Mytilus edulis: one gene and its partners. The protein of the gene in region 1 purifies or fractionates together with the protein of each later gene. This does not show direct contact. Links are inferred from orthologs where the notes say so. Each region holds a gene or a part of one and is shown in the gene's direction. Other genes may lie near its edges.

Region 1 (7,997 bases):
TCCTCATTTTTGTTGAGTCTGCAATTAATAGCAAAAGTAGGCTTGACACTGGGTTCCAGGGAACCCTTACAAATTTTCTGCTCTATTGTATGGTTGTTGTCTCTTTGATACATTCCCTGTCTCTATTGTCTTTGAAATAATTTTAATATGGAACAGTTTAAATCAATCAAGTGTTATGTTTGCTTATTCTTTTTGTGTGAAAAATGTGTATTATGAAATGATGATTGAAAACTACAATTCAGAGAAACATGAAATACAGGTCTGTGTAATAATATTTATTTCAAAGCCAACATATTCTTCAAGGCACACCAGTAATTTCATTTTCATACTGACACTATATGTGTCACCACCAGGAATACCCCAGATCAAGTTCTAAAATCACTTTAATTGATTCAATAAAAAACAAAAAAACATCCTGAGTTGCATTCTAGTAATCAAAAAATTTATTCTTTTTTGTCCCCATCATCTTCTGAAGTTCCATCAGCTGTTTTCACTTTATTTTCTCGAGGTACATATACTGAGTTTATGTAGCCTTTATCAATATTGAATTTGGAATCCTTAATGTAACCTACTGAGTCAAGTCCTTCTGTTATCTCTTTGTGAACTGATCCAAGTAGTCCCTTGTTTTGCTGCAAGAAGAAATAAAACTTGTGAAAATAGCTCTACATGACTTTAGTTCTAATTATCAATTCTCAAGAAATAACACTTTTGTCAAAATTATAAAAAAACAACATGTACCAGTAAAATAGTTTCAATTATAATCAGTTTCATTAGAACTGATCACAAAACACAGTCACATTTAAAAAAATACAAAACAAATCTAAATTCAAACCAATGTCTGCAGGCACTATTAAAAAAGTTCAGGGATGTTGAATCTTAATTGCATGTATTTACAAACATTTGACCATGGGTCATAATTTAATCAAAAAAGAAGCAACCAAAACAGAAAGAAAATTCATTCTTAACCTTACTAGGATGCAGTTAAAAAATCAAAATAAGACAGTAAACACAACAGTCATGACAGTTATTTTTTTGAAAGAACAACTTAATGAACTAGGGGAGCATAAAGTGCCCAAATTGTTTGTTTGTTTAAAGGGAAAGATGGACAGAAAATTCATTCCTTATATATTCATGACATTAGACAATATTAAATTTAAGTCAGTTTGTGTAAATAACATGAATAATTATTTTAATACTTCAATGTTTAGTCATTTTTTCAGTCATATTTCCAGCCATTACAGTATAAGGAAAACTCTTTGGCAGAAGGAGATTTCAATTAGAGCAGGTATACTTAATGAATTTTCAATGCTTCATTTTTTGGTACATGTCTATAACCTTTTCAAATAAGTATCACATAACCTGAAGTTCATAATAAGACAAGTGCCTGTTCAACCAAAATTTACTAAAATACACATGATACATGAGGTGGAAATCAATCAAGACTTCTTTGCCATGTATAGAAAAGACTCATAGTGTCAAATACATGATATACAACAAACAAATTAAGATAAGTATTTTTTTTAAAGGGGATGTACATTAAGATGCTCAAGGCAATTTAACACCAGTCCTTTCTATTGATGAAGACTGAAAGCAGATGGCTAGACATCCTTTGCTTAATTATTTTGGTTGTTATCTCAATAAATACACTATCATTACAATATACCTTGCATCTCTTTTTATCCACATTTACAGCATGATAAAGACATTGGACTTTTAGTCTCATTTAACATGTTTTATTCACACAAGCATGTTGTTCAGTAATTCATGTGCTCATGTTAACCACTTCAGTCAATGGTTAAAAAATTAACAAATTTCTTGAAAGGGGAGATAATTTTACATTTAGACAATATATATATATATATAATATATGTAGTAATATCATGATGCAGTATTAAATTTATTTGCATGGATGTCTTGCATTTATCATACCATAAAATAAGGTCAAATTGCTGAAAGAACCTCTAAATCTTGAAATTTTATCACTTTACATTAACCATAATATCATGGTGTAAATTAAATACACCACATGTACATTGGGCTAACATTCTCAAGGTTGTGTCTTAATACATATCCCTATTTGAAATTTTCAATAAGTTTTATATATCAAAACGTTAAAACAATAAAGCCAACTCACCTCATTTTTAGCAGCTGATAGAACAGTATTGACTTTTCTTCCTTTTACAAGTATTTTAACCATTTGATTGATTTTAATCTGGAGATCATGGCCGGCAATTTTTGTTTCAATGTCAAAGCGTTTTGGGCTCTTTTCCTTCGGTGTCTTCTTCTGTTCTTCCTTTTGTTCTTCTTTTGTCACAAGTTTATAAGATGGGAATCCTTCTGTAAATTTTCCCTCTAATTTAGCTAATTTGAACCCTTTACTGTTGGCATATTCCTTAGCCCCTGCTAATGTTTGCTTTCCAATTAACAGATCTTCATTAGAAAACAACTGAATAGTGTCAATCAATTTCACCAACTTTACACGTTTCACATTATTAGATTCATCAGATGATTGTCCCTTTTTGTTATCATGAATTTTTACCTTTTTAGGGAACTTTTTATTTAGATTTGGACCACATTGATGAAAATATTGTTTATCTTCAATTCTACCACATTTCTTCACATGGCAACTTTCAAAGAGATTGCTACTTAAATTGCCAATTGTAACACATGTGTATGTTCTTGATGTTTGTGTTGAGCAATGAATCTTTGAAAATCTGGCTAAGTTTGTCATATGATTGTAATGGGTTATTGGTGATAATGAAAGAAGTCTGAATCTGCAGAAAGTCATCACAGCTATTGGTGATTTAACAAGTTTCATGTTGCTGTTTTTCCCTGTCTACAGACTACAGTGTCATCATGGATATGGCATTCAATCCTGTATAAAAGAAGAACAAAGTATTTCAATATTTTGTATATATATACACTGTTTAAAAAATGAAAATATGGATTTATATATTACATTTATACAATAAAACATAACGAATAGAAAAACAAGATCAGATGACCTAACCAGAAGGTAGGAAAAGATTAAACTTTGGTCTAAAGTCTATCTTTGCAATATTTTGAAATTTTTAATGAAAGAGTTGAATAAAAAAGGCAGATTAAATTATTTTTTTACAACGTATAGAATTTTGTGTAAAACTTCATACAATTTTCATATTTTAAATGTTTATTTTAAAGGAGGAGATTGAAATAGTAGGGTACAATCTATATGGGCAGACTTATCAAGTTGGAAAATTGCAAGCCATTGATCATTATGATAAAAGTGCAAACCCTGACAGTCTGCATTGACATGATTGATGAACATATATATCAACTCAATAAACTCAGTAAAAATACTGTTGTCAGGTCATTAAGGATTGCATATTTTGGAATTAATATTGATTGACTCATAGGGCTGTTGCATCGGAAATAAACACATTTATTCTAAAACCAATTGTTGGCATGATACAGGTTATGTTCTTCTCATATATTTTATTTTGTTGTGATACTAAACCCCTATTTAGAAGGATTGTGCTTGATTTCCATATGATGAAGACATAATCTTTCAATCAGTTTCAATGAGGTCTGGAGCTGGCATGTCACTAACTGCTAGTAGTCTTTTGTTAATTTATGTATCATTAATTGTCATTTTGCTTAGTTTCTTTTGTTACCTATTCTGACATTGGACTCCAGAAGTCTTTTAAGCTGAGTTTTACTGTGCGTATTGCTGTGTGTTTCCTTAATATTTTACATTGGCTAGAGGTATACATGGTATAGGGGGAGGGTTGAGAATTGAGATCTCACAAAGCATGTTTAACCCCAACATATTTTTGCACCTGTCCCTAGACAGGAGCCTTTGGCCTTTGTTAGTCTTGTATGTTTTTTAATTTTAGTTCATTTATATGTTTTGGAGTGTAGCATTGATGTCCATTTTCACTGAACTAGTACACAATTTTATTTAGGGGCCAGCTAAGGCCCATCATCGGGTGTGGTTGAAGACCCATTGGTGGCCCTGAGCTGTTATCTGCTCTTTGGTCGGGATGTTGTCTCATATTTCCCAATCTTAACAATTGAATATGATTGATACAATCACGATCCTTGAAAAAAACTAAAACAAATTTATTAATTGATCAACTCAATAGTGGTCAACCTTTGACATAGAGATCAAACAGTTGATTGAATTGATAAACTCTTAAACCATTCTAAAAATTGAATACGATTGAAATAGTGACCCTTAAATATCAATAGGACCATAAACAATACCCCAATACCGAGCGTATATGGCTTCACAGCTTGCTTTTAATAGGAAAATCATATGAAGGAGATGCATTCATGTACATGAAGTCATGATGTACAGCACAACTTGCAGGAACTAGAAATGCGCAACATATTTTCAAACAGTATTTGCAATAATACAGACTTTAGTCTAAATAATAAAAATAGACCGTTTTTAGACGTCAAAAATTATTAATTGGACTAGTTCGGACTCCAAGAGATTTCAATCAATTTTACAGTTTATATAATTTGCCAGGACTTGCTTGAAAGCCACAGGCACTTGTCTCCAAAAAAAATCCTATATACAATGTAGAGGTATATATAGAAAAACTTCTGAGCCTGTGTTGAAAGCTGATCTTTGTTATCTGAGACTGATATCTAACATTTTGCCTTTTTTATGAAAGAAAAGTTAATTTTGATCATTTTATCCGCAAGCCATCAAAATGTTCGTTATAAACCCACTATCAGGGGATATTCTGAGACAGGGGACATCAAATATTTATCTGAGAGAAATATTCATACCTGTAATTTTATGGACCTTTATTTTATTTTCGGTATTCAGATAAATTACATACATCGAGTTTCGTAGTTTTTACACTATTCTATCATAAGATGATACATGGATTATGCATTGGATATAAATATTATATCTGAAAATAATTTGACCCGTTTTAACAGTTCGATATAAATAATTCGAAACTGAAAGAAGTAAAATTGTAAACACGATGGCGGCTGCCGGTGTAGCTGCACCACAAACCGGCACACAAGACGACGAAGAATGGCTTTATGGGGGTAAAGTATTCGATTATAAATAAAGGCATTACTTGATGAATATGTTAGCTTTGCTTCAGGTTGTTTTTTAATGAACAATTGCTGTTGCTAGAAATAGAAGTCTACGTTTGTCACTCGGATTTTTATAGACAAAACTTGGTACTCCATTTAATATAGCATTCTATTATTTTTAGTATTTACCTTGACAACTTCATTAAATGATCTGTAAAATTCATATCGTAAATTCCCTCATCGATCAGACGTCATGATTATGTGGACCAGTGCCAGTAGTGGTTTCTAAAAACATGGTTGAATCATAGGGGCTTGTTTAGTGGGTCAGACGAGGTTTTACTGTCAACGGCGATCGCTATCCTATATAAAATACCTTGTTTTTGTCCGCCAGTACTGGACATTACACATGCTTTGTATAAAAGTGACACCTAACATCCACGTATTCCAACATCAATCCGAATTCCGATAGCAAACAATCTTATTCGGAAGACTCTGTATTAAAGTGACAGCTATTTTATATAGGATAGCGATCGCCATTGACAGTAAAACCTTGTCTGACCCACTAAACAAGCCCCTGTGGTTGAATGTTTTATTTTCAAATGTACCTTATCACTATTTGTCCGCCAGTACTGGACATTACACATGCTTTGTATAAAAGTGACACCTAACATCCACGTATTCCAACATCAATCCGAATTCCAATAGCAAACAATCTTATTCGGAAGACTGTATTAAAGTGACACCTAACATCCACGTATTCCAACATCAATCCGATTTCCGATAGCAAACAATCTAGTTCCGAAGACTCCGTATACATACTATAAGTATTTTATTGTAATTATATTACAAAATATTGATCACATGATGCTAGTATTACTAGACTTGCAATAGACCACTTTCGAGTTCATCCGTCACCGGAAAAAACTCGTCAATTATACGCGCCTTTATCATCGTCATTTGTGCGTTTAGGGGCGTCGTCACTTCCTTCCAATGTTGAGCGAGTGGTTGGAAAACTATAATTCTATATTGTACGAATTATTTGGCAAATATGAATTCTCAAAATTGACAATCAACACTGCTGTCATTAAGGAAATGTCAGTAAGTACCTACAGAGCAACCATTATTTCTAGTTTATCCTGCACAAAGACGATCACTAAGACGCTTGATGAACGTAAATAGTGCAGGGATACAGGCGAGCCCCTCTATCTGGTAAATGACGTCATAAAGGCGTGTATAATTGACGAGTTTTTGCCGGTGACGGATGAACTCGAAAGTGGTCTATTGGTTTACATCAATCCAAAAAAAAGTGCATTCATAAATTAAAACAATGCATTAGTAAACATTGGGACCTACTAAAACAGGATGCAGTTTGCAACGAAATATTTTCAAGCAAACCAATAATAGCTTATAAAATGCATATAAGTATTGTAGATCTATTGACAACGACAAAATTAAAATAAATTGATATACATGTAGGTAAATCCCTGATGATGACGGGCCTACAATGCTTAAACCCTTTCATAAATGTTATACATTTATCATTCGCATATAATACAAAAAAAAATAAGATGACTTATCTTAGGAGCGAAAAATCAACACCTCCATTCATACATTCGTAATTAAAAAAATTTTGTTTTGTTTTAGATGATAATAAAGAGTCGCAAGAAAAAGCTAGTGGGTAAGCTATATGGCCTATATATCTGTATATGAAATAAACATTATAAAATACTGATGTATCTCTTTAAAGAACATGTTTGTACAGTGAAATATAATAAGATTGAACATTGGTAAGATACCAATAAAACAACTCATAGAAGAATAACCTACAAATTCTTAGATTGATTGAAAGGGAAGTGCTAAATATTTATGATATTGCATGTACATTTTATTAAGTAATTTGTCATATTATACATACTGTTTTCTTGTCAATTGAACTTATTTTGACAAAATTGAATTAAACTTACTGCTATTAAGCAAAATATTATTTCACAATTCTTCTTTCATATTTTATTTTTTTGACAAAAACGTAGCTTACATGTATTAAGCCCCTTCAATTAATATCTAAGGAAATGAAAGTTTCTTATCTTCCTCAGTATATTGAGTCAGTTTTGGTCTGAGACCACAATTGTCGTCCCTTGATTTTCGTTGTTCACAAATATAGTCCCTAGTGCTGACAGTGGGTTACTTGCCATTAATTTTTATACCCCTTCCAAATTTATTTCTCCATGTGTAATGCCTCAAATTGCAAGAAGGGGGGTGAAATTACACTGTAAAAAAATTTGGGTCTCAAATTTTTAAGGAAAGTAGTGATTTGGTCCAGCTGAAAAAGGTTAAAAATTAGCACTTCGGAAGCTGTTGAAAGATTTCAAGACGTTCTAAACATAAAATTGTCCATATTTTGAGCTTGAGAAAGCGCAGGTGGTTTTTTTTTAAATTTTCATTTATGTTCTAAAAGAAATGCACTACGAAATAATTGTGGTCTCGGACCTTTTAGTTGAATAACATGAATAATTTACAGCGCGATGCATATAAAATAATTACACATATATCTGAAATATCTTGAAATCTCTGCAGTTCTCTATTAATATTATTTTTTCATTTCTACCTTTGCAAACATTCTACATTGTACAAAATGTATATATATCATCCTACTGTTCTCTGGCACTCCATTTTTGAAATGCACTAGTCACATGCTAGTAAAGTATTTAAAAAAAAAAAAGTGTTATATTTAATATAACAGGGCTGCTGACCCACCTAAACACAGTAGATCTGACAGAAAGGATGACAGAGAAGCTGGAGAATTGGTAAGGTATCAAATATATTAAGGATGGAAGACTTTTGCTTCCAAAATGATTTGTGCATGTGTACAAAAAAGAAATTCCATGTATATGAAACCATATCAATACACAGTTAAGAATAAACTAGTTGGCAACAGCAAGTGAATTAAAAATTGAAGA
Region 2 (8,069 bases), on another chromosome or scaffold:
AACTTGCACAAATTATAGTTGTAAACATGTAAACAATACCAAACATACAGTTATCCTTGGAAAATATATACTATTTAAACTGCTTTTATTATGGGTTTAAACATTTGTGGCTAGTAGGAGAGTTTATGATTTTTTGGATTTTTCAATTTGTGTAGTTTAGATGCTTCTTACATATATATCAAAAGAATATTTTAATTTCCTTGAGTATTATGTATACAGACATGGACATTTTCCAATATGAGATATTTCCCTTATCTTGATATCACATGGAAATTGAAATGCTTAAAAATATATCCATCGCACATATAGTTTATACAAATTAATAACAACACTGATGTAATTAAAAGGCACAATTTTTGTTTGATAAAATTTGCATTTATGATTAATTGTGAAAACTGACCAAAAAAATACCAGCACTTTCATAGTCAATTGATTATTTTCTTGCTTCATTTATTATAAACACAAATCTCCTTTAAACTGCAACATTTAAGCCTGAGGCATGCTTCATGTGGTTTACTTTTTTGATAGGCAGTTTAATTAAACTAATCTATGCATAGTTACATATTATCAACAGGTAAATTTGTCATTAACCCTTTCCTCCATAATGACGCCTTTTGACGCCACCCCCTTTACTCCATAATGACGCCTTTGGACCCCTGTATAGTGCCTCAGTTGAAATGTATTACCTAGGATAAAACTTCATCAGACTTAAAAAAAAATGTAACTAATATAAAAAGGATATTCATGAGAACATCTGACTGGAATTTTATTGATGAAAAATTTGTTTTCACAATGCATTAATACTTTAAACCTGATGATTATCACGATTATTTTTCATTGAAAAAATCTTGTGCAAATCAAGTATGTAAAAAAAAAAAGCCAAGGAGGATAGCTCCTCCTAGCATCAAAATAATACAATGGTATAATAAAAATATAACATGTAATTTAAGGTTTTCACATGGTATACAGTTACTTATAAATGTGTAAAAATGTGTGTATACTATATGTATATATTGGGTCTTTAAAGACTCTCATAAATCTTTTTTAAGATTGGCACATACATTGTAAATTTTTTAATGTTTTAAGTCTATTTATGTGAATCTCATTTTATGTTTGTATGTGGTGAGACTATAATAAAATATTGAATTTGAATCTACTTCTTGTCTGTTATAATCCATTTAATAATTGGACAATTGAGTTTTCATTCCTTTGCACTTGTTGAAAGAATACATAAGAAATGCATGTCCACAGTGAATCAGTTATATTGTTACATATGGTACATGTATAAGAAAAACATGAAAGCAAGAAACCTAAAAACACAAGTCCACTAAACAAATACATTGTTTAAAACCACAAAACATTGATGTTTTGGGTTATTTGTGTGTTGTAAATACAACTTCAGAGTTTAGTATAATGTCCATTATCACTTAACTAGTATACAATGTACATATTTGTTTAGGGGCCAGCTAAAGAACGCCTCCAAGTGCAGCAATTTTTCGCTACATTGAAGATCCATTGGTTGGGTTGTTGTCGCTTTGACACATTCCCCATTTCCATTCTCAATTTTATTCATTAATTTATAGAAGATGTTTGGGTTAAAAAGGAGCATACATCATATTACATGTACATTCTGTAGTACAATATTAGACAATTGTATTGTGATAGAAAAAGTCACTCATCATCCCCTTAATATAAATTAGATTATAAATACTTTAAGAAATCTCTAAAATATGTAAACACTTTTCAATACAAACATAAAGAGAGAACAACTAAGAAATACATTTTTGGAGAATGCAAAAGATAGCTTCATTGCATTTAACATGATTAAACAACAGCAAAGAAGAAAACAACAATATATTTCCATTAGACACCATATATATCCTGCACTCACTATCACATTTCTGTATTCAGGGAACTGATGAAATCTGGCTCAAAACCCTCATTTGCCAGATTATTTTGTTAAAATATGCACATCATACATGTAAGGCCATGTGTGATTCCAGTTACTCTACTTAACATACCAGAAATATTGTACTTGATCTGAATATTGTGGTATGAATAAGCATTGTTTAGAAGTTTTATAACATTTAATAAGTGGGCAAACTTTGATAAGCGACCCCTATGTTTTTGTTTTAATAATGAGGGGCCTGATGGGTTATTTTCGTTCTTCTTGATCGGTGCATTTTCGCTATTGTGATCCGTTATTTTTTATATTTTCGTGATCCTTGATCATGGAAATTTATTTTCTGCAAATTGTGATAGACAAAAAAATCAACTAGTGAATTGTGATGAGACTGCCCCATCAAACCCCTCAATAATAGCCCACCCTTAAATTTTTTGGTCATTTTTCATTAAGCACTGTTAAAGTCAAAATGTTGAATGTTTTTGCTGAATGTAAAAAAATATCCCTACCCCCTAACCTTACTTTTTTTTTTATATGTATTTGGCCTAATGAGCAAAGGTATTAATTAATTTTCATGAACATAAATGTGTGACCACAACTTCAAGGTAAATTTCTATTTTTTCTGTTTGGTTCTGATGTTGTGCTTTAAAACTATCTACTGCCCAAGGTTAAACATCACCACATTCTGTCCTAAGCCTTAAAAAGTTTACATAATAAAGAACAAGTATGTATAGTTGTTAACTTCTGTGTCATTTGGCCTCTTGTGGAGATTTTGTCTCATTTGCAATTATACCACATCTTCTTTTTATATATATATATAGGCGATTTGGTGTCACAATATCACAGTAGCATGGGTTCGAATCCCGGCGAGGGAAGAATCAAAAATTTGCGAAAGCAAATTTACAGATCTAACATTGTTGGGTTGATGTTTAGACGAGTTGTATATACATTATGTACACAGCCATGTATCACCATCATTGATGGCGATTCGATGGATACATCTGTTGTAGAGTTGTCACTGACTCAGACGTACTTATATATATATATATAGTTGACTTCAGTGTCATTCGGTCTCTTGTGCAGAGTTGTCTCATTGGCAATCGTATCACATCTTCTTATTTTTATGTTTCAAGAGGATATGACCACAACTTTATATTAGCTTAGTTAACATGATACAGGATTAAAAATGGGACACAGAACAGAAAAGATTAGTATATCCATCCATTGAAGTGGGGCAAAAAGCAAAACAAAAAATGAATTTACATAATATGAAATGTTGACATACCTTAGTACTTCTCACTGATCTTAAAAAGGTTACTGCATCTATCTTGATCTCATTGGACTGCTATTAAAGAAAAAAATATATGCATTTATTTTTCATTATCTCTTCTATTCATATACATTTAAAAAATGTTTCATATCCCACTAAATTGGCTCACTAAGAGTATACATGTATTACAATTTCCTGTATTATCACATGTAACTGATTGATGTTTTTTATTTTTATAAACCTATGGTCAATTTTATCTGTTCTTCATTGGTTCAGCTGAAACATTTTGTCAAATGACCACTGTTTCCTGCAGCTGGATAATTGTGATAATCCATTGGATAAATGATACATTAATAGACATGAAGTAGAGAGAGAGATAGAGATTTTTTTATTTGATTCAATTGTTATTGCTTAAAAAAATAACAACATCTTTAAGGTTTAAGGTCATGTTTTATATTGAAATTTTTGCAAAACATTAAGAAATAATTTCTAATTACACATGCATCAATTTAAGGATTTATTATCTAAATCAAATTTACTGTTTAAACTTTAATATGACCAAGGGCCAATTTATTAAGAAACTGAATCGACTGTTACATACATGTACATGTACATGTATAAAGTAAATTCGTGAAAAAATACCTTAATGTAGTTTGAAGAGAAGGGTTCAGTAACTTTCAATATATATACACGAGTTGATCAAATTGCAATTGTATGCTTAAATTAAATGAATGATTATACCATTTTGGTAAATAACTGACTTAATTTTAAGTAATATATTGTTTACGTCCGATTACAATGAATTTCATAATAACCCACTTGGAAGATTGAAACATGCTGGAATTAAATAATCAAACAAAAGTGATTTAAAATGTATTATTTAACATGCTGGAATTGAACAAAACTAATTTAAAAAGTATTATTCATCAAATTTGAATATGAAAAAGGTTCATATTGCCCATACACACAATTTTAGATTGCTTTCATTGCAATGATTATGAGAATGTAATCAAAATGTAATCAGATTCTTGGGTGATTAATGATTACAATTACCACAAGCCTGGTATAAAGTTATATGAGATTAGGGAGGTTCCTCATTTCTGTTTTTCTTTCATAGTTTATAGTTTTTTTTTATTCTTCAGTCAGTTATTTTCATTTTTTTTCAATTTATGATTTTAGACACCATAACTCTTTATTATGTTTATTATTTATGACCATTTCTCTCTATAGATTTATTTAGCTGAGGGCTCATTTTCTATTAACCCCTTACCAGAACCTCTTACATCATGTACATGTAAATGATGTATGACACAAAAACAATCAATGGAAAAATAAACAAGATAAACAGATAAAGCTGCCTCAATACTTTCAAAACATCTCTAACTGATCAGTCTTAATCATACCTATAGTATAGAACTGGCATGACAATGAATTTGATTTAAAACTATCCAAACGTCACAATTGTCATAACTTATTTATTTTTTACAGAAACTCACTTGTTGCTGATGTTGTTTATCAGATGAAAACTTCAGAAAGAGAATCAAAACTACACAAGTTAGTATTGCAAAAGCTGAGACTAAGAATAGATACATCATTCATCACTTTCATATTTGAAGACGCCAAATTAAAACCAGATTATGAAAAGAAACTTTCATATCCATCTAAAAATTACTTCATACAAGTGATCATAAGTTCTGCATCAGTAACAAAGTTCAACCGGAAATGACTTAACTGAAGTTAGCTCCCTTTTTAATGTAAAGTTTACATCCGGTGTAAATCCAAACCAACGTGAGCTCTTGGCCGCCTAAACAAAGTGTTTTCTATTCACTTTGCAATTGTTTCAAAGCTAGAATTAGATGAGGTGAAATCAATTATTGTAATAAACAGTACTAGTTTCATCCACACAATACTAGATATACACAATGGTCCCATAAAAGCTAATCAACTAACCGGCACAAACCAGACAACAAGTCAACATACACTGACATAGGGGCCGAGTTCACTTGAAACTCTACAATCAACTTCAGAGTTAATAGATTATCACGTGAACGCACTAGAGTTGATATTCGGAACAACTCTAAGTCACTCTAGGGTAATGCCCTGACCAAGCATAAAAAATAAAATATTCTCATTGGTTTGACGTCATTCAAGAGTTTCTCGAGTTTAACCCTGGCTCGGTGAGGGTTGGAACTAGAGTACGAGGGGTTAACTCGAGTGATTCAAGTAAAATCGTATTGTTAACTCGAGAGTTTCAAGTGAACTCCGCCAGGTAGTCCATATAATTATGACGTCTTGAAAGGCTAATATTTTTTCTTTCTTTGACGCCTTACATCAACATTGTTATTCAGACTAACAGCACCTCAGATTCTGGCGTAGTACTAGTCGGCAAATGTCAATTCGGCTCCTATTTAAAGTCATTTTCAAATATTTTGGCATCTTGCTTGTAAAAATTGGGTATAATTTAAAAAAAAAAGTATTAATTATAAACAATAAGCATGAATGCATGATAAAACACTTTTATCCTACATACATATACGGTAAGCACAAGATCTAATGAGAAAACAGTAAGCACATCTGTTATCATGCAAAACATAAATATTGGTACCAAGCACAGCAAATTTAAGAAATTATTGATGCATTGCAAGCTATTCTTTATTGTAGTTTTAAAATGGGTAGGCATTATATTCGTGATTATATTTCCCCGAGCGATAGTAAGGGCTAAAATAACAGGAACATATGCCACAGCAAATTTAAGAAATAATTGATGCATTGCAAGCTATTCTTTATTGTAGTTTTATTGTAGTTGTAGCATCGGAACTAAACACATTTATTTCTTAAAAAAAAAACAGTTGTTGGCATGACACGGGTTATGTTCTTCTCATATATTTTATGATAGTATGATACTAAACCCCTAACGGGAGGGATTGTACCTGATATTCATATGATGAAGACATAATCTTTCAATCAGTTTAATTGAGGTCTGGAGCTGGCATGTCAGTTAACTGCTAGTAGTCTGTTGTTATTTATGTATTATTGTCATTTTATTTATTTTCTTTTGTTACATCTTTTGACATCAGACTCGGACTTCTCTTGAACTGAATTTTAATGTGCGTATTGTTATTCTTTTACTTTTCTACATTGGCTAGAGGTATAGGGGGAGGGTTGAGATCTCATAAACATGTTTAACCCCGCCGCAATTTTGCGCCTGTCCCAAGTCAGGAGCCTCTGGCCTTTGTTAGTCTTGTATGATTTTAAATTTTAGTTTCTTGTGTATAATTCGGAGTTTAGTATGACGTCCATTATCACTGTACTATTATGCATATTTTAGGGGCCAGCTGAAGGACACCTACGGGTGCGGGAATTCTCGCTACATTGAAGACCCATTGGTTACCTTCGGCTGTTGTTTGCTCTATGGTCGGGTGGTTGTCGCTTTGACATATTCACCATTTCCTTTCTCAATTTTATTAAAATGGGTAGGCATTATATATTCGTGATTATATTTCCCCAAGCCATATATAGTAATGGCTAAAATAACAGGAAAATATGCCACAGCAAATTTAAGAAATAATTGATGCATTGCAAGCTATTCTTTATTGTAGTTTTAAAATGGGTAGGCATTATATTCATGATTATATTTCCCCGAGCAATAGTAAGGGCTAAAATAACGAACATAATGCCAGTCACCTGAAGATTTCATAATTATAACGAAAAAATGGGGGAAATAAAATAACACGAATATAATACCTACCCATGTTAAAACTACAATAAAGTATTGCTTGCATCAATTATTTCGATTCTGATTAGGACAATGAAGGTATTATCTATATCCGATGTATATAAGTGTACAGTGTTTGTGTATATATCTCTTCCATGAAGTTGAACCTCCCTTTTTTGTTTGTAAAAAAGCAAACGACTGGCAATGTGAATTTTCAGAGGGAGGAGTTTGAACAGCCAGCATGAATGGCTGTCGTATCTTGCTCAAATATGTCAATTTCCATTTGCAAATTACAGTCATAATAAATGAATTAGTAACAACATGTGCATCATTTAAGAGTTCAGAGTTGTTTTAAGTTAATGAATTATATTAAATGCATGCCAATTTGATAAAAATCATTATTCTGCAGTAGTCAATATACGCATGACCATGTGCAAACAAATTTTATTAGAGCATGGGTTTATTCACAAAGCAAAAGAAGCACGTCATATTAGAAGAGCAATTAATGTGTCTGATCTGTGTGTCTTTTTCAAACGATAAATATGTTTATATTAATGTACAGTTGTCACAAAATGGAAGTTCCATAGGTACTAAAAGTTATAGTTTAAGGCACTTTGGGACAGTAGAATTATTTTAGTATTATATGAACACAAATATACTCTAGAAATAACTTGTTTAAATTTGCTTTTTACTATCCAAAGCACTTGGTGATATTCTCTTATTCTCTTTTTGATATATCAGCCTTCTTTTACTTTAGACAAAATGTTAGACAACCCATAAAGAGCTATATGTACTAAACTATTCTTAACCCCTAACCTTACCCTAACCCATACCGTAAACCCAAAACTAGCCCTAACCCTAAAAGCTAACCCTAACCTTAAATTAAATATCCTCTAACCATACCATAACCAGGAATTAACTGGTACCTTTACTCTAGGTATAGGGACCCTTAAAGTAAGAGAAGGCTGATATATCAGTGATGCAAAAATAATTGAATTGAAATTAAATTTAAAAAAAAAGACTAAAACACGTTTGTGATATTTTGAAAAGAAATGGTGTGACTGTGTCAGTTGTGTCATTTGGTTATGACATTTACATATGTACAGACTAAGTACTGTATTCTATTGGCTCTCAGTTTGTATTTAAAATCCAAACTTGTTGAGATATATATTTAAGTTAAA
Region 3 (7,570 bases), on another chromosome or scaffold:
ATGTATTCATTATAAATATGGAAATCAAGCACAATCCATCCCGTTAAGGTTTAAGTATCATACCATCATAAACTATACGAGAAGAACATAAATCGTATCATGCCAACAACTAGTTTAATAATTAATTTGTTTATTTCCTGTGCATAGTTTGATGGTATGCCGGTAAATTTAACTGAGAATAAAGGTCTTTTTTTGTCATACATGCAAAGGATTCCCAGTCAGACATACAAACAATAATATTGTGAATTTTAAAAGTTCTTTTACATAAATATAAAGAAAACAGGAGATGTATGATTGCCAAAGAAACAACTGCCCATCAAAGTTCGAATAAAGAGGATGAAGTCAATTTTAGGAAACCGTACGGTCTTTGGTGTTGACTGAACATTTAAGCTATGATATTTCTACAGATATTCTGTGCTGTTAAGACCTGTTGGGTTATTTCTTTATCCACCAAAGCTTCTCTAAAAATGCAAAAATGGGTAAAATCATCATTAAAAGGAATAACTTCTATAAATAGTAAACTGACAATTTCGGCCATTAATTTTGACCAAGATATGGTTATCTTGTCCTGCTATCAATTTAATTAAAATATGGATCTCTGATGTAGTATAACGAAATCAGAGATCAATATTTTAGTCAGATTGGTCCTGCTGTCAATTTTTTCTATATATTGGAGTAATCAAGATAATCAAGATAATAGATGAACACACAAACTAGTTGAATGTATTGTCATGTAAGGTCAACAACTCCTAGTGTGAGTGGACCAATGTTTTTGGCAAACCTATTTGAAGATTATTGTTTCCCCTCCAAAGTTTCATCCTATAATTTATTGTTTTCAAAAATATAGACTATATACAGTGATATTGTTTGCATTAAATTACTGGAGAATAAAGGCGTTTTCTCCTGGAGAAGAATCCCAATTTGAAAAACTAGAGGCTCTAAAGAGCCTGTGTCGCTCACCTTGGTCTATGTGAATATTAAACAATGGACACAGATGGATTCATGACAAAATTGTGTTTTGGTGATGGTGATGTGTTTCTAGATCTTACTTTACTAAACATTCTTGCTGCTTACAATTATCTCTATCTATAACAGTACTTTCTGTGGAAAATCTTCAAATTTTAAGAAAATTGTTAAAAATTGACTATGAAGGGCAATAACTCCTTAGTTATCCGATTCATCTGAAAATTCCAGGGCAGATAGATCGTGACCTGATCAACAATTTTACTTCCTGTCAAATTTGCTCTTAATGCTTTGGTTTTTGAGTTATAAGCCAAAAACTGCATTTTACCCCCATGTTCTATTTTTAGCCATGGCGGCCATCTTGGTTTGTTGGCCTAGTTACCGGACACATTTTTTTAACTAAATACCCCAATGATGATTATGGCTAAGTTTGGTTAAATTTGGCCCAGTAGTTTCAGAGGAGAAGATTTTTCTAAAAGATTACTAAGATTTACGAAAAAAGGTTAAAAATTGACTATAAAGGGCAATAACTCCTAAAGTGGTCAACTGACCATTTTGGTCATGTTGACTTATTTGTAGATCTTACTTTACTGAACATTATTGCTGTTTACAGTTTATCTCTATCTATAATAATATTCAAGATAATAACCAAAAACAGCAAAATTTCCTTAAAATTCCAATTTCAGGGGCAGCAACCCAACAACGGAATGTCCGATTCATCTGAAAATTTCAGGGCAGATAGATCTTCACCTGATGTACAATTTTATCCCCATGTCAGATTTGCTCTAAATGCTTTGGTTTTTGAGTTATAAGCCAAAAACTGCATTTTACACCTATGTTCTATTTTTAGCCATGGCGGCCATCTTGGTTGGTTGGGCGGGTCATCGGACACAATTTTTTAACTAGATACCCCAATGATGATTATGGCCAAGTTTGGTTAAATTTGGCCCAGTAGTTTTAGAGGAGAAGATTTTTCTAAAAGATTACTAAGATTTACGAAAAATGGTTAAAAATTGACTATAAAGGGCAATAACTCCTAAAGTGGTCAACTGACCATTTTGGTCATGTTGACTTATTTGTAGATCTTACTTTGCTGAACATTATTGCTGTTTACAGTTTATCTCTATCTATAATAATATTCAAGATAATAACCAAAAACAGCAAAATTTCCTTAAAATTACCATTTCAGGGGCAGCAACCCAACAAGGAAATGTCTGATTCATCTGAAAATTTCAGGGCAGATAGATCTTGACCTGATGAACAATATTACCCAGTGTCAAATTCGCTCTAAATGCTTTGGTTTTTGAGTTAAAAGCCAAAAACTGCATTTTACCCCTATGTTCTATTTTTAGCCATGGCGGCCATCTTGGTTGGTTGGGCGGGTCACTGGACACATTTTTTAAACTAGATACCCCAATGATGATTGTGGCCATGTTTGGTCAAATTTGGCCCAGTAGTTTCAGAGGAGAAGATTTTTGTAAAAGTTAACGCAGGACGACGACGGACGAAGACGGACGACGGACGCCAAGTGATGAGAAAAGCTCACTTGGCCTTTCGGCCAGGTGAGCTAAAAAATGGCTTAAAATTATTCCCAAAAAGACAACTTTTTTCCGAAACAGTGCAGTCAAGTATTAATTGCGATTGAATTCAAACTGAAAAACACTCATTTAAACATTTTTAATGTCTAAAAATGACTATATGTACAGATTTGAGGGTCTATTTATGTATCATCACTGACAATAAGGGCTCTTATTTCAAATGAGGGTTTACCTCTTGAAAGGGGATCTGCAAATTGAAGTTCCAGTCAAATTCATGGTTAATTATAAATTTCCCAATTTGATACAAATGATGCACATTTTTCCAATAAAAAAGGGTAGAGGTAGTTTTGAAAAAAGCCAACAATATCACTGATATAACTCCCAAAAATGATTAAAAAAGTGTCACTTTTTATTTGGCAATAACACCAATAAGGACTCTTCTGACGAGTTTGACCATGATTTCAATTTGAAGTTTATACATTGAAACATTTTATTTCACTAAAGGCCTCACATGAGGCATGATAGTACAACAATATAACAAATAAGATATAATGCATGAACAAACATATTTACAAATGCATGAATACAATGTTTGCATTCTGCAAGCTTTGAATTGAGTTATTTCCCTTTGACCATAAAATTTTTGAAAACCCAGTAAATGTATACAGCATTGAATGACTATCTGAAACTTGTATAATTCAAAAAACGAAATCTGTTTGTCACATATGGTAATATACACATCATTTTGTAAATTGGATATCTGAGTATCTGTTTAATAAATTTCTCAAATACCATGATAGGATACAATCAATGTACGCCTCACGGCACCGTGTTGTGTGCACTCAAAAGTACAGGTAAAGAAGAGGTTTATATAGAGTTAATCAGCCAGTAGCTATTGGACTTTGATTGCCTGCTAATATATTTAACCCCAAAACTGAAGCCTTACTCTAGATCTCAGCAAACCTCATATATATTCAGTGCATACATTGTCATCAATACACCAAATTAAAGATACGTCATAAGTGGAGATTTAAAACAAGAGTACACATACTAAAATGTCTCTGTAAATTATGCTTATTTACATAATAATAAATCAAAAGGCTTTCACTTTAAAATGTGAACATAAAATTAAATATTGTATGGCATTTAGACAAATCATATATTTTCAATTGGAGTTATCTTCCTTTGTTCACAAAAATTGTACATTTGTAGTCGAAAGTTCATTCACCATGCCCATTTATAATAGTGTCAAGTATCATGGTTATTCAAATGTACATCATTTTGTAAACTTAATAGCCAAGTATAACATATCATTTATAAATTTATTGAAATTGACTGAATAGGATCTAAACAATGTCATGCAGTTTTAGTACCTTTTGCTTAAACTATCTGATACACACAAACCATGGAAGCTAATTATCATTGACCAACAAACCATGTAAATGAGGTCATTAGAAAATGGCAGATAGACATATGCAATCATTCCATAGTTACATGGTATAAGTTCGGTACTTTTGTTATTTTACTTCTTTCCATACAGCAAATATAGTGGACCTATTACTTATTGTACATTTGTATTTGTATATATATGAGATATAGACCAAATAACAAAAACTAAACATAAAATGAATCATAAAAAAGTTCAGTCAGATTAAACCTGCCAGACAGAAACCAAAATCAGCTGTAGTATTGCTTATAGTATCTGAGAAACAGACAAAACCACAAAAACTTAACATTATTCAATGAACCATGAAAATAATTTCAAGGTCATAAGAAACATGCCAGACACATATGATCATACCACAATCCTTCAATTTACAGCAAAAATCGTGGTCCCATTGTTCATGTTGTTTAAAGTATTTGTGAAATAAACCAAACCACAAAACTTAACATTACTAGTATCCAATGAACTGTTATTATGAATGTTCAAGGTCAGAGAAAATCTTTCAATCTGACATGTGCACCTTACAATCATTCCATACACCAAATATAGTCAACCTAATGGTTACATTGTCCGATATTGACTTTACGATGAAAACTTAACCTTGATCACTGATCCATGAAATGATGTCAAGGTCAAGTGATTTGTCTAACAGACATGAAGACATTGCAAGGATCCAATATACCAAATATATTTCTACTACATATTGTATTACTCATAATTATGAGTACATGTATGTCACATTAAAAAAAGTTACATATAGTGAAGCATCCAGGTCTTCTACCTCAAAAATATAGAGCTGTATACAAATAGTTTATGCCACTAAGTATCTGTCCCCAGTTGGGAGCCCCATTTGTAGCTGGCTGTCTTTTTTGTATTTAAATATAAAATTGAGAATGGAAATGGGGAATGTGCCAAAGAGACAACAATCCGACCATAGAAAAAAACAACAGCAGAAGATCACCAACAGGTCTTCAATGTAGCGAGAAATTCCCGCACCCGGAAGCGTCCTTCAGCTGGTTTTGATTGTTCATAGAAGTCGTACACATATTTGATCAAACTCGTGTTGTTTTCAATTCATAAAATTGAGAATGGAAAAGGGGAATGTGCCAAAGAGACAACAACCCGACCATAGAAAAAAACACAACAGCAGAAGATCACCAACAGGTCTTCAATGTAGCGAAAAATTCCCGCACCCGGAGGAGTCCTTCAGCTGGCCCCTAAACAAATATATACTAGATCAGTGATAATGAACGCCATAAAGGGGTTTCATTATCTTTCATGTTGACTGGTACTTTCCATGTTTCTAGGTGGTACTTTTCAATTTATTCCCTGAATATCTTATATAAAAATTCCTACATTTAGGCGGTACTTGTCAATAGCATAGGAGGGTAAAAGTACCGGGTACCGCCTTCTAATGAATGGCCTGGCCGGCCCATACTAATTTCCAAATTGTACACAAGAAACTAAAATTAAAATAATACAAGACTAACAAAGACCAGAGGCTCCTGACTTGGGACAGGCGCAAAAATGCGGCGGGGTTAAACATGTTTGTGAGATCTCAACCCTCCCCCTATACCTCTAGCCAATGTAGAAAAGTAAACGCATAACAATATGTTTTGCTATTTGCATGACTTGGACTCTGGAGACTCAACTTTTTATGACAGACCTTCCAAAGACTTCACTACATGTTAACAGACTTTGGGCAATTTGAGCTTGATACATATTTGATGATTGATATTTGCTCGACATTCAGTTAAGTTTGATAAACATGTGCATGTATTAATGTTGTGGAATATTATTCAATAGCTCTCATCATTCAATAGTCAAGTTAAAACCCTGAATTTAATACTGTTGTTGCATTAGCCGATTTACCCATCAACAGACATATTCCTTGGAAAAAATTAATAGTTAACCGAGTTTCTGTGACATACATGTACATGTAGCTGTGAAAATAACTAACAATAAGGGCAATATTAATCAGTTCACCCATTGGGCCAGGTGACCTACATTAAATGAAATAGAATTAATCCAAATACTGTCTGGTATTGTCTATTGATTTTATTTGATAAAAGTTACACACTTGCTTTTGGCTTATTGCACATTAAATAAACTTGATTCAACAGTGTTTAACCATGGACAATATGTTCCAAAACTCCTTGTCTAATTAAATGTTCACATTCAGATCTCAATAGAAAATGCTGGCTATTTTTCTTCAACAATACAATGTTACCATCTTGAGTTTCAAATTCACCGTGATCCATCAAACACCTGACTTCAATGAATAAAGTTTTTGGTGGTTTAAGATCTTGTGTGAGATCAAGTCCCCCGTGGTCTCCTATAGACCTCATATAGTTTGCTAGCAATTTGTTATATTTTCCAAACCACTGAACTTCCTGTTCACCTAGGTTCAATTTGACATCCGAAGGCAGTACACTTCCAAACTCCCATCTCATCTTCTTAATGTGTTGTAATCTGTTATAAATATATGCTAAAAGACACCTTTTATTCCTTTCCAAAGCAGCATGCCGAAGTTGTACTCCTGAAAACAAACCATTTTCTCCAGCAACTGTGGCGCTGACATCCTTCTGGTTTTGTTCAAACAAAGCTTTCATCTCCTCTAACACGTGTCTGGCTGTATCTTCATTATATGGACCAAGTGTGCTATCAATTGTTCGTTGTAACTCAGCAATGAGCTCTAAAGCTTTTTCGGCTAACATTTCTACGATGTTCAATGTATGTGACTGTTTATCAACTTAAATTCCCGCCATTTATAACTCCCCTCGGAACATTTTATTATCGGGTCTCACTAATTAGCGACAACAAGCGTCAAGAAGCGACAACAAGCGTCGACAAGCGACAAGAAGCGACAACAAGAATTATTTTAGCGACAACAAGCGACAAGAAGACTATTTAGCGACAAGAAAACATATTTTTTTTTTATTAGATATAAAGAAATTTGTATTTAATGTTTTTTTTAAAATATACGAGCAGATATGTCTAATTAAAATGTTTTATTATATAGATAGACGAAGAAATGAAACATAAATTTGTGAGGAAGAAAGAGATTGTGAAGTTTATATTAGTATATTGGTAGATGAAGAAATTTAACATTTGTGAAAAAGAAAGAGATTGAGGTTCTTTTTTTTTTATTTTTAAATATGAAGAATATGTATAAGATAATGTATGTATCTGTTTTCATCAAAGTCAAAGTATGAATAAACGAATGGAGATATATATATGGAGCGGGCATAACGGAATATAATATTTTGATTCATTTGCTTAATACTATGCTCTAAGTGTACTCTTGTTATGTCAATTCGATGCTTTATTTGTAGAACTCTCAGCCACGCTTTGCCATCTTTATTATTTAAGCGTGTTTCCAGACCCATGAGTCAAGAATTTTTGCAATGCAAAAGCCTTTTCTTTCTCCGATTTAATCTGCCATAGAGCTTTTGTGCATTGAAAATGGCTTACTGAGGAGCTTAGCTCAAAGTCTCCATGTCCATAAAGTGCGCCATTGACAAGACTTTCTTGCAACTTTATTTCTTTGTGAATTAGCTTATTTGACACCATCTCTATACAAGTCAAAACTCTCAGTCTTGTTGCAAGACTTTCATTGCCACAC
Region 4 (6,978 bases), on another chromosome or scaffold:
TAAAGGTTGGAAGTTAGAGTTGTCTTTCTTTAATAATCACCTATTTAAGTAGTACAAATTAATCACTAGAAGAAGTGATTTAATTTTATTGTAGCTTTAAATATAGAATACTAATGATCCAGGGACTAATTATGTTTACTTAACTTTAATTTAATTTAATTAACTTATCAGAACCAACATCTGTGTTGTCTAGGATGACCAGGTCATTTCAGGTGATGACCTTGTACTGAATCTAGGATAATGACATAAAAATCACTTGTTTAAGTATCAGACCTCAATTTCCTTCCCAAAAATCACTTCTTTAAGTATCATTCTTTTAATAATCCTTACTAATTTCAACACCCCTGAACAGTGAGATTTTTATCGCGAACAGTAGAATTTTATTACATAATCTGAAAGATGAAACCTTGAACTTCACAGGAAAAATACTCCCACTGCTGGGAAAAATCTTTTAAGAAAGTATCAGTTCATTATGTAAAGCCATTATTATAGCATTTTTTCAACTAAAATAGAATTTTCAGCTAAATGATAGCATCAAAGGCAGAAACCTTTCTACTTAAAAGAAGCAAAAAGTTTTGTTTTTTTTAATTTTACTAATTAAAAGATATTATTTAAACCTATGTGTTTAAAATTTGGAAAAAAATACAAAATTCCAATTTGTGACAAAAAAACGATTTTGCTACTCAAATAAGTGATTTAAAAATCACCTATTTCAGTAAGTCCCCTGACTGTGGAAGGTACCAGAAAAGAGTACTAGTACTGTGAAGTGCCTAATTACAGATCCTAACAGAGATGACCACTTTCATGTTTTGCAAATATTGACAGTCAAAATTCGCCAAAAAAGAAGGGTGCAGATGGCGCCCAAGAAGAGTCATATGTGTAAGTTTGCTCTGTTAGCAACTGATCTACTACTGCTCAGATAAGTGGGTGCTTTTTTCAATTAAATCACAGTTAGTGGCAAAAAGTAAAGAACTTTGGTCTTGTGGCAAGACAACCAGTTAAAATGATAATCAGCAAAATCATGGCCACAGAGTCCTTTCACCACCAAACACCACTGTATACCGCTGAACACCCCAAAAAAACAACACTGACCACAGTGATACTATACAATAAAACGATAAAATAAATTAAATAGCATATTATTAAATCAATTTTTAGATTTTTATGTGCATCATTGTTATGTCAAAGTCGATAATCAATAAATCAATATAGAGTTAATTGTCCCCAGATTCATCCCTTTATCCAGATTACATTGTGTGTGTATATGTATATATATATTAAACATTTCAAATAAAATTCAAACATATTCGTAATAAGTAATCAGTTCAAGTATCCTTGATTTCTCTTCATCAGTCATGTCAGTTAGATTTTGATATATATATATATATGATAAATGTCTCTTCTTAAAAGAGGGGCAAAAGATACCACAGGCCTCTACAATAACTTTTTTTTTCAACTACCAAAACTTACTTGTCCGAATGAAATTGTTACTTGTCCAATTTTTTTTTTTACTGTAAAATAATCTTTTTACATCTTCAGTTGATTAAAGGAACAAAACGAATTGAAACAATAGAACAGAATTTGATGGGTTTTTTTTAAAATAATTTTCAAAAATATGAGTCAAGTACAACTGAATCAATTCATGTCACAGGACTTAGGTTATAGTTCTCATCAATGCTAGTCTCATCAGACTCTGCACATGAGGCACCATCTGATAGGCCTGTACACTCATTTGACATTTGTATCCTATATTTTTCTAAGTAGAAAAAAGTGTATTCAAATACAATCAATAAAAAGAAGATAAGGTCTGACTGCCAATGAGAAAACTCTCAGCAAGAGACCAAATGACACAGAAATTTACAACTATAGGTCACTATATTGCAAGTATTGTTTTTTTTCTACTTATGATCAAATATGATTTTGTTAATTTTATGGTAAATAAAAAAAATATTTTTGTAAAAAAATGTTCATCAAAGTTGAATAATTAAAACTTTTTTTCTGCAAAATAATTGAACCTGTCCCGACGGACAAGCTTGATACAGCTTTTACTTGTCCGACCTTTTTTCCCTCTGGTATCGGACAAGCGTTATTGTCGAGGCCTGTACCAGAGGCACAATCAAACTCAGAAATCGAAAATAAACTGACACAATGACGGACAACTCCATGGCTAAAAAAGAAAAAGACAAACAGACAAATAATAGTACAAGATAGTATTAATATTCATGATATAGGTACAAATATTTTAAAGATGAAAAAAAACAAGAAAAAAAAACATATTTGAGGTGTCCAGTGACTGTGTTTGATGTAGATATTTGGTCTGTTAATCTTATTATTTGTTGAATTTATAACTTAAATATTATATTTAGGTCACATTTATAACGATAAAAGATAACTAAAAAAAATGGGGGTTTTCGCTGGTGTTCCACTGTGTGTGGTGGTGTTTGGTGGTGAAAAGACCTAGAAAGGGTGCCTACTAATTGCTGTTGTGTGCCCAACTTTTCGTCTTTTGAAAACATCCCATGGAACTCAGAGACTCAGCAGTTGATATGCTGGACTGAGGGATTTCTTGAGTTACGTAGAATTAAATTCTTTGGATGGGTTGTTCTCTCCCCAGATGTGGAGATGTTGTGAAAGCTAATATATGAACAACCAAACAAACATCAGTGTCCACCTGTCCACAGAAAAAGTATATTTCCTGAGAATGATCTTCATTTACTATTTTTGATTTTCACTTATTGTTTTTACATATCACAATGAAAATAATAAATAAATCAATCATGTCAATAGAAAAAGAAAACACAGTTAAAAGGAAATGAAGATCACGAAATATATGCTTCATAAATACAGAATAATTCTGTCTAGCAGTAATGAATCACTATATATAATAGCACTAAACCATCTGACTAGACTATTGAACTGTCAGACCATTGAATCATTTGACTATTTGACCGTCAGATTACCACTATGGCTAGTCAAAATAATTATGACGACTTGAAAGGCTTTTTAACCCTCTTGCTGCCAACCGTTTTTCAAGGTTGCATTTCATATGCAAGAGAATACGACAGCTACGTCTGTGACCTAACATGCCAAACAACGTCATTCGATATATGACGTCACGACATAATGACCGTTACATTTGGGACCAATTGGAGAAAATCATGACACTGTTTAATCTTCGGTTTTTTAATTCCAAGAGATACAGCATTGATTGAGAAACTTGCATAAATTTTACCATGGACATATGTGTCCCTCCGGCAGCAAGAGGGATTTGTGGCGCCTTCCTAACTATAAATTATTTAGACTACACAACAGCCCCTACAATGGATCTGTAGCCGAGTATGCTAAATTTTTTCTGCGGCTTTGATGGAGAAACATTTGTTTGCCACAATTTCTTTTCATTCAGTTTTTTAGTTTTACCAAGGTTACATGTATTTATGTTCGTGCCTCAGCTGTAACCAGGCCAGGATAATTGTTTTTCAAAATCCTCCGAATACCTCTTCCCAAGAAAATCAAATGGTAATCCCCTAAGAAGACTAGAGATATGAAAATTTATGAACAAGATAATAATTTGTATTTGACCCAAATACTTAATCCTAAGATATATAGATCCTTACTATTAATCCCCTAAGAAGACTAGAGATATAAAATGAACAAGATTGTATTTGACCCAAATACTTAATCCTAAGATATGATCAGATATATAGATCCTTACTATAATTTTCGGCATATTTTTTCATCATGGGCGCAGACATCTTGAATTTTACAAATGCAGATTTTTAAAAGAAACGAAACTATTTAAAAATGAGGTATTATTAAACAAAACAAATAAATTAAATAGATATTTCATATAAAAATATATGAATTTGCAATGAAATAAAGTTATTTTTGTGTTATTTTATGAAAATGTATGACATTTTACAGTATTTATGTAAGTTCTGTTTGTCATATTAAGAAGTAACAATCAGAAAAAAAATGGCTTCTAATGAAACAACAGAGGGCCAAGTTCCTATAGAAGAAAGTGATCAGTTGATAATAAAACCATTGTTAGCATATATTTTCACTCATAAATAATAACTATAGATTCTTAGCTTGTTCGTCCTTTCATATAAAGTATTATTAACTGTGCCTACACACACACAAACAAAAAACCAATCAAACATTGTGATTTTTTTTTTTTACAAATATCACTTTCTACCTACCATGAATACATGTATATGGTCAGATCATATGGTTTCGTACGTCAAACGAATTTGTACTATGCATGTTTTTTTAATGGAAATTGTGACGTCACAATGCATTCTTAATAGCATGAAAACCCATGAGACAAGACTATCGTTAATTAGATTTATATAATTTTGCGAAATAGGGCGCCCAAATTAAATAATTACAACATAACTGTGTCATTATATCAAAGGTACCGATGATGGCTTTAACTTGTGTGGAAAGAAAGCACCTACTGACATCGTTGAACTTGAAGAACTGTTGGTTCCAATAGACGTACCTTTATATCACAATCTGGATATCTACACAGCTTGACCAAGGAATCTTTGCTTTTAATTTATGCAAATAATAGGACTGCTTGAGTACCGCATGCCTAAAAAAGAACTCTAAATTTGATATCTGATACATACATGACATACATCTTTATGCAGATTTTTCTCGAAATCGCAAAAATTAGTCTCACATTTTTGTCCATTCTTCTAAAAATGCAATGATAAAACATGGATAATGCCCGCAAAAATTTCTGAATTTATAGTAGTCATGCTGGTTTAGAATTATCTCTATTTAAAATTTATTATATATCATATTTCTCTCATTGATTAATATTTATTTCAGAGGTTCTGGTCAAGAAGTAGGTAGATCATGTCACATACTGGAATTCAAAGGAAAGAAAATTATGGTAAATATTCAGTAACAGGTGTTAACTTTCCAGAACCTAGTTTTTTCTTGGGACATTTGAGTGATCAAATCTTTCACTATCATGACTATTTAGGGAAAAGAAATCACAATTTATACACCTTTCATAATAATCATGATAATGTGACCATAAAAAGTTGTATGTCATTTAAAAATGTAATAATTTCTTAAGCAAGTAAGATCAAATATCAAAATCACATTTGTGTGCTTAAGCAAATATTAGTTGGTTGCAATTGACATGGGTTAATCAATTTAACAAGAGTGTGACGAAATACAGAAAAATCTTCATCATGGTAATACACATAGATGACCTTATCATGCTTATCCGGTTGATCCAAGAAAGTAAACAACACCTTTGATTAATTCACTTTTTTGTAAATGTACATTTTAATTACATTAAAGGTGCATAAAATACCTCAGCTAGCTCAGAGAAAGAGATTAAATCAGTTTCAAGTAGGAGTCATGAAATATGTTCCAAAACAGGCAGATTTTTTGGTTTGCATATTTATCAAATATATATCACCTTGTGAATAAAATCTCAGTATATTTGGAGAATATTACGGTACCTAAAAGAAAACTCTTCAAAGGACTCAATTTCAAACACATCTGTTTTACTATTTAAATTATGACTAACCACAAACTAAATTTTTCAATTTACAGAAGTTAACTCTCCATGCAACCAACATGTACAATTGGCAATTAAAATGAAGTTTATGATTGTAAGAGTACATTTATATTGTTAAAACGCCATTTTTTCTGTATTGTAGTTGGACTGTGGCATTCACCCAGGACTTCATGGAGTTGCTTCCCTTCCATACCTAGATTGTGTAGATGTTGAAGACATAGATCTGTTGCTGATCAGTCAGTGAGTGTTAAATTGAAAGCAAAAAATTTAAATACATTTTAAAAAATTTCATTTATCTTGCAGTGATTATAGTTTGGCAGTGCCGTACAGGAATAAAATTGAGAATGGAAATGGGGAATGTGCCAAAGAGACAACAACCTGACCATAGCGCAGACAACAGCAGAAGGTCACCAACAGGTCTTCAATGCAACGAGAAATTCTCGCACCCGGAGCCATCCTTCAGCTGGCCCCTAAACAAATATATTCTGGTTCAGTGATAATGAACAAATTGTACACAAGAAACTAAAAGTTAAAATAATACAAGACTAACAAAGGCCAGAAGCTCCTGACTTGGGACAGGCACAAAAATGCGGCGGGGTTAAACATGTTTGTGAGATCTCAACCCTCCCCCTATACCTCTAGCCAATGCAGAAAAGTAAACGCATAACAATACGTACATTAAAATTCAGCTCAAGAGAAGTCCAAGTCTGATGTCAGAAGATGTAACCAAAGAAAATAAACAAAATGACAATAATACATACGGTAAATAACATCAGACTGCTAGCAGTTAACTGACATGCCAGCTGCGGACTTCAATTAAAATGATTGAAAAATTATGTCTTCATCATATGAATATCTGGCACAATCCTCCCCGTGAGGTGTTTAGTATCATACCATCACAATAATCGAATGAAACATGGTTGAACTAAAACAGATAAGATAGAGAATAGGGAATGTGTCAAAGAAACAACACCCTGACCAAAGAGCAAAAAACAGCTGAAGGCCACCAATGGGTCTTCAACACAACTAGAAAATACCACACCAAAAACCTGCTTCAGCTGGCCCCTAAACAAAGATGTGTACTAGTTCAGTGATATTGGAGGCCATACTAAACTCCAAAACATATAATTGAACTAAAATCAAGACTTAACAAAGGCCAGGGGCTCCTGACTTGGGACAAGTGCAAAAATGTTGCAGAGCCTGGGTTATACATGTTTTGTGAGATCTCAACTCTATACTTCTGGCAAATGTGGAATAAAACAGATCTGTTAAGTATATTAGTTTCTATAGCGAGATTTAGTTTTTGTTTAGTACTATATAGTTCTATGTTCTTTATATTTTACAGCTTTCATTTAGATCATTGTGGAGCATTGCCATATTTCTTAGAGAAAACAGCATTCAAAGGACGGTGTTTCATGACCCATGCAACAAAAGCT

What was found.
Region 2: the proteins of pre-mRNA 3'-end-processing factor FIP1-like (region 1) and cleavage and polyadenylation specificity factor subunit 2-like purify together in Homo sapiens (affinity purification with mass spectrometry; 7 studies listed by BioGRID and IntAct, with this or other methods). This does not show direct contact. The link is inferred for Mytilus edulis from reciprocal best matches to the Homo sapiens genes FIP1L1 and CPSF2.
Region 3: the proteins of pre-mRNA 3'-end-processing factor FIP1-like (region 1) and prolyl 4-hydroxylase subunit alpha-2-like purify together in Homo sapiens (co-immunoprecipitation; 3 studies listed by BioGRID and IntAct, with this or other methods). This does not show direct contact. The link is inferred for Mytilus edulis from reciprocal best matches to the Homo sapiens genes FIP1L1 and P4HA2.
Region 4: the proteins of pre-mRNA 3'-end-processing factor FIP1-like (region 1) and cleavage and polyadenylation specificity factor subunit 3-like purify together in Homo sapiens (affinity purification with mass spectrometry; 5 studies listed by BioGRID and IntAct, with this or other methods). This does not show direct contact. The link is inferred for Mytilus edulis from reciprocal best matches to the Homo sapiens genes FIP1L1 and CPSF3.

Annotation. Positions count from the first base shown.
Region 1 is NC_092351.1:28,666,969-28,674,965, reverse strand, and holds the start of pre-mRNA 3'-end-processing factor FIP1-like, read left to right. Parts: upstream 1-4,924; 5' UTR 4,925-4,982; coding exon 4,983-5,049; intron 5,050-6,684; coding exon 6,685-6,718; intron 6,719-7,780; coding exon 7,781-7,844; intron 7,845-7,997. Other genes in the region: uncharacterized protein, read right to left, coding at 444-629, 2,135-2,818.
Region 2 is NC_092346.1:19,602,858-19,610,926, reverse strand, and holds the start of cleavage and polyadenylation specificity factor subunit 2-like, read left to right. Parts: upstream 1-4,918; 5' UTR 4,919-5,034; intron 5,035-8,069. Other genes in the region: uncharacterized protein, read right to left, coding at 3,189-3,248, 4,670-4,768. UniProt on the Homo sapiens protein: Component of the cleavage and polyadenylation specificity factor (CPSF) complex that play a key role in pre-mRNA 3'-end formation, recognizing the AAUAAA signal sequence and interacting with poly(A) polymerase and other factors to bring about cleavage and poly(A) addition.
Region 3 is NC_092352.1:54,411,965-54,419,534, forward strand, and holds the start of prolyl 4-hydroxylase subunit alpha-2-like, read left to right. Parts: upstream 1-4,468; 5' UTR 4,469-4,610; intron 4,611-5,983; exon of another isoform or gene 5,984-6,071; coding exon of another isoform or gene 6,072-6,662; exon of another isoform or gene 6,663-6,735; intron 6,736-7,570. Other genes in the region: DNA replication complex GINS protein PSF1-like, read right to left, coding at 6,072-6,662. UniProt on the Homo sapiens protein: Catalyzes the post-translational formation of 4-hydroxyproline in -Xaa-Pro-Gly- sequences in collagens and other proteins.
Region 4 is NC_092350.1:41,935,385-41,942,362, forward strand, and holds the start of cleavage and polyadenylation specificity factor subunit 3-like, read left to right. Parts: upstream 1-3,932; 5' UTR 3,933-3,972; coding exon 3,973-4,043; intron 4,044-4,836; coding exon 4,837-4,900; intron 4,901-5,684; coding exon 5,685-5,782; intron 5,783-6,887; coding exon 6,888-6,978. UniProt on the Homo sapiens protein: Component of the cleavage and polyadenylation specificity factor (CPSF) complex that plays a key role in pre-mRNA 3'-end formation, recognizing the AAUAAA signal sequence and interacting with poly(A) polymerase and other factors to bring about cleavage and poly(A) addition.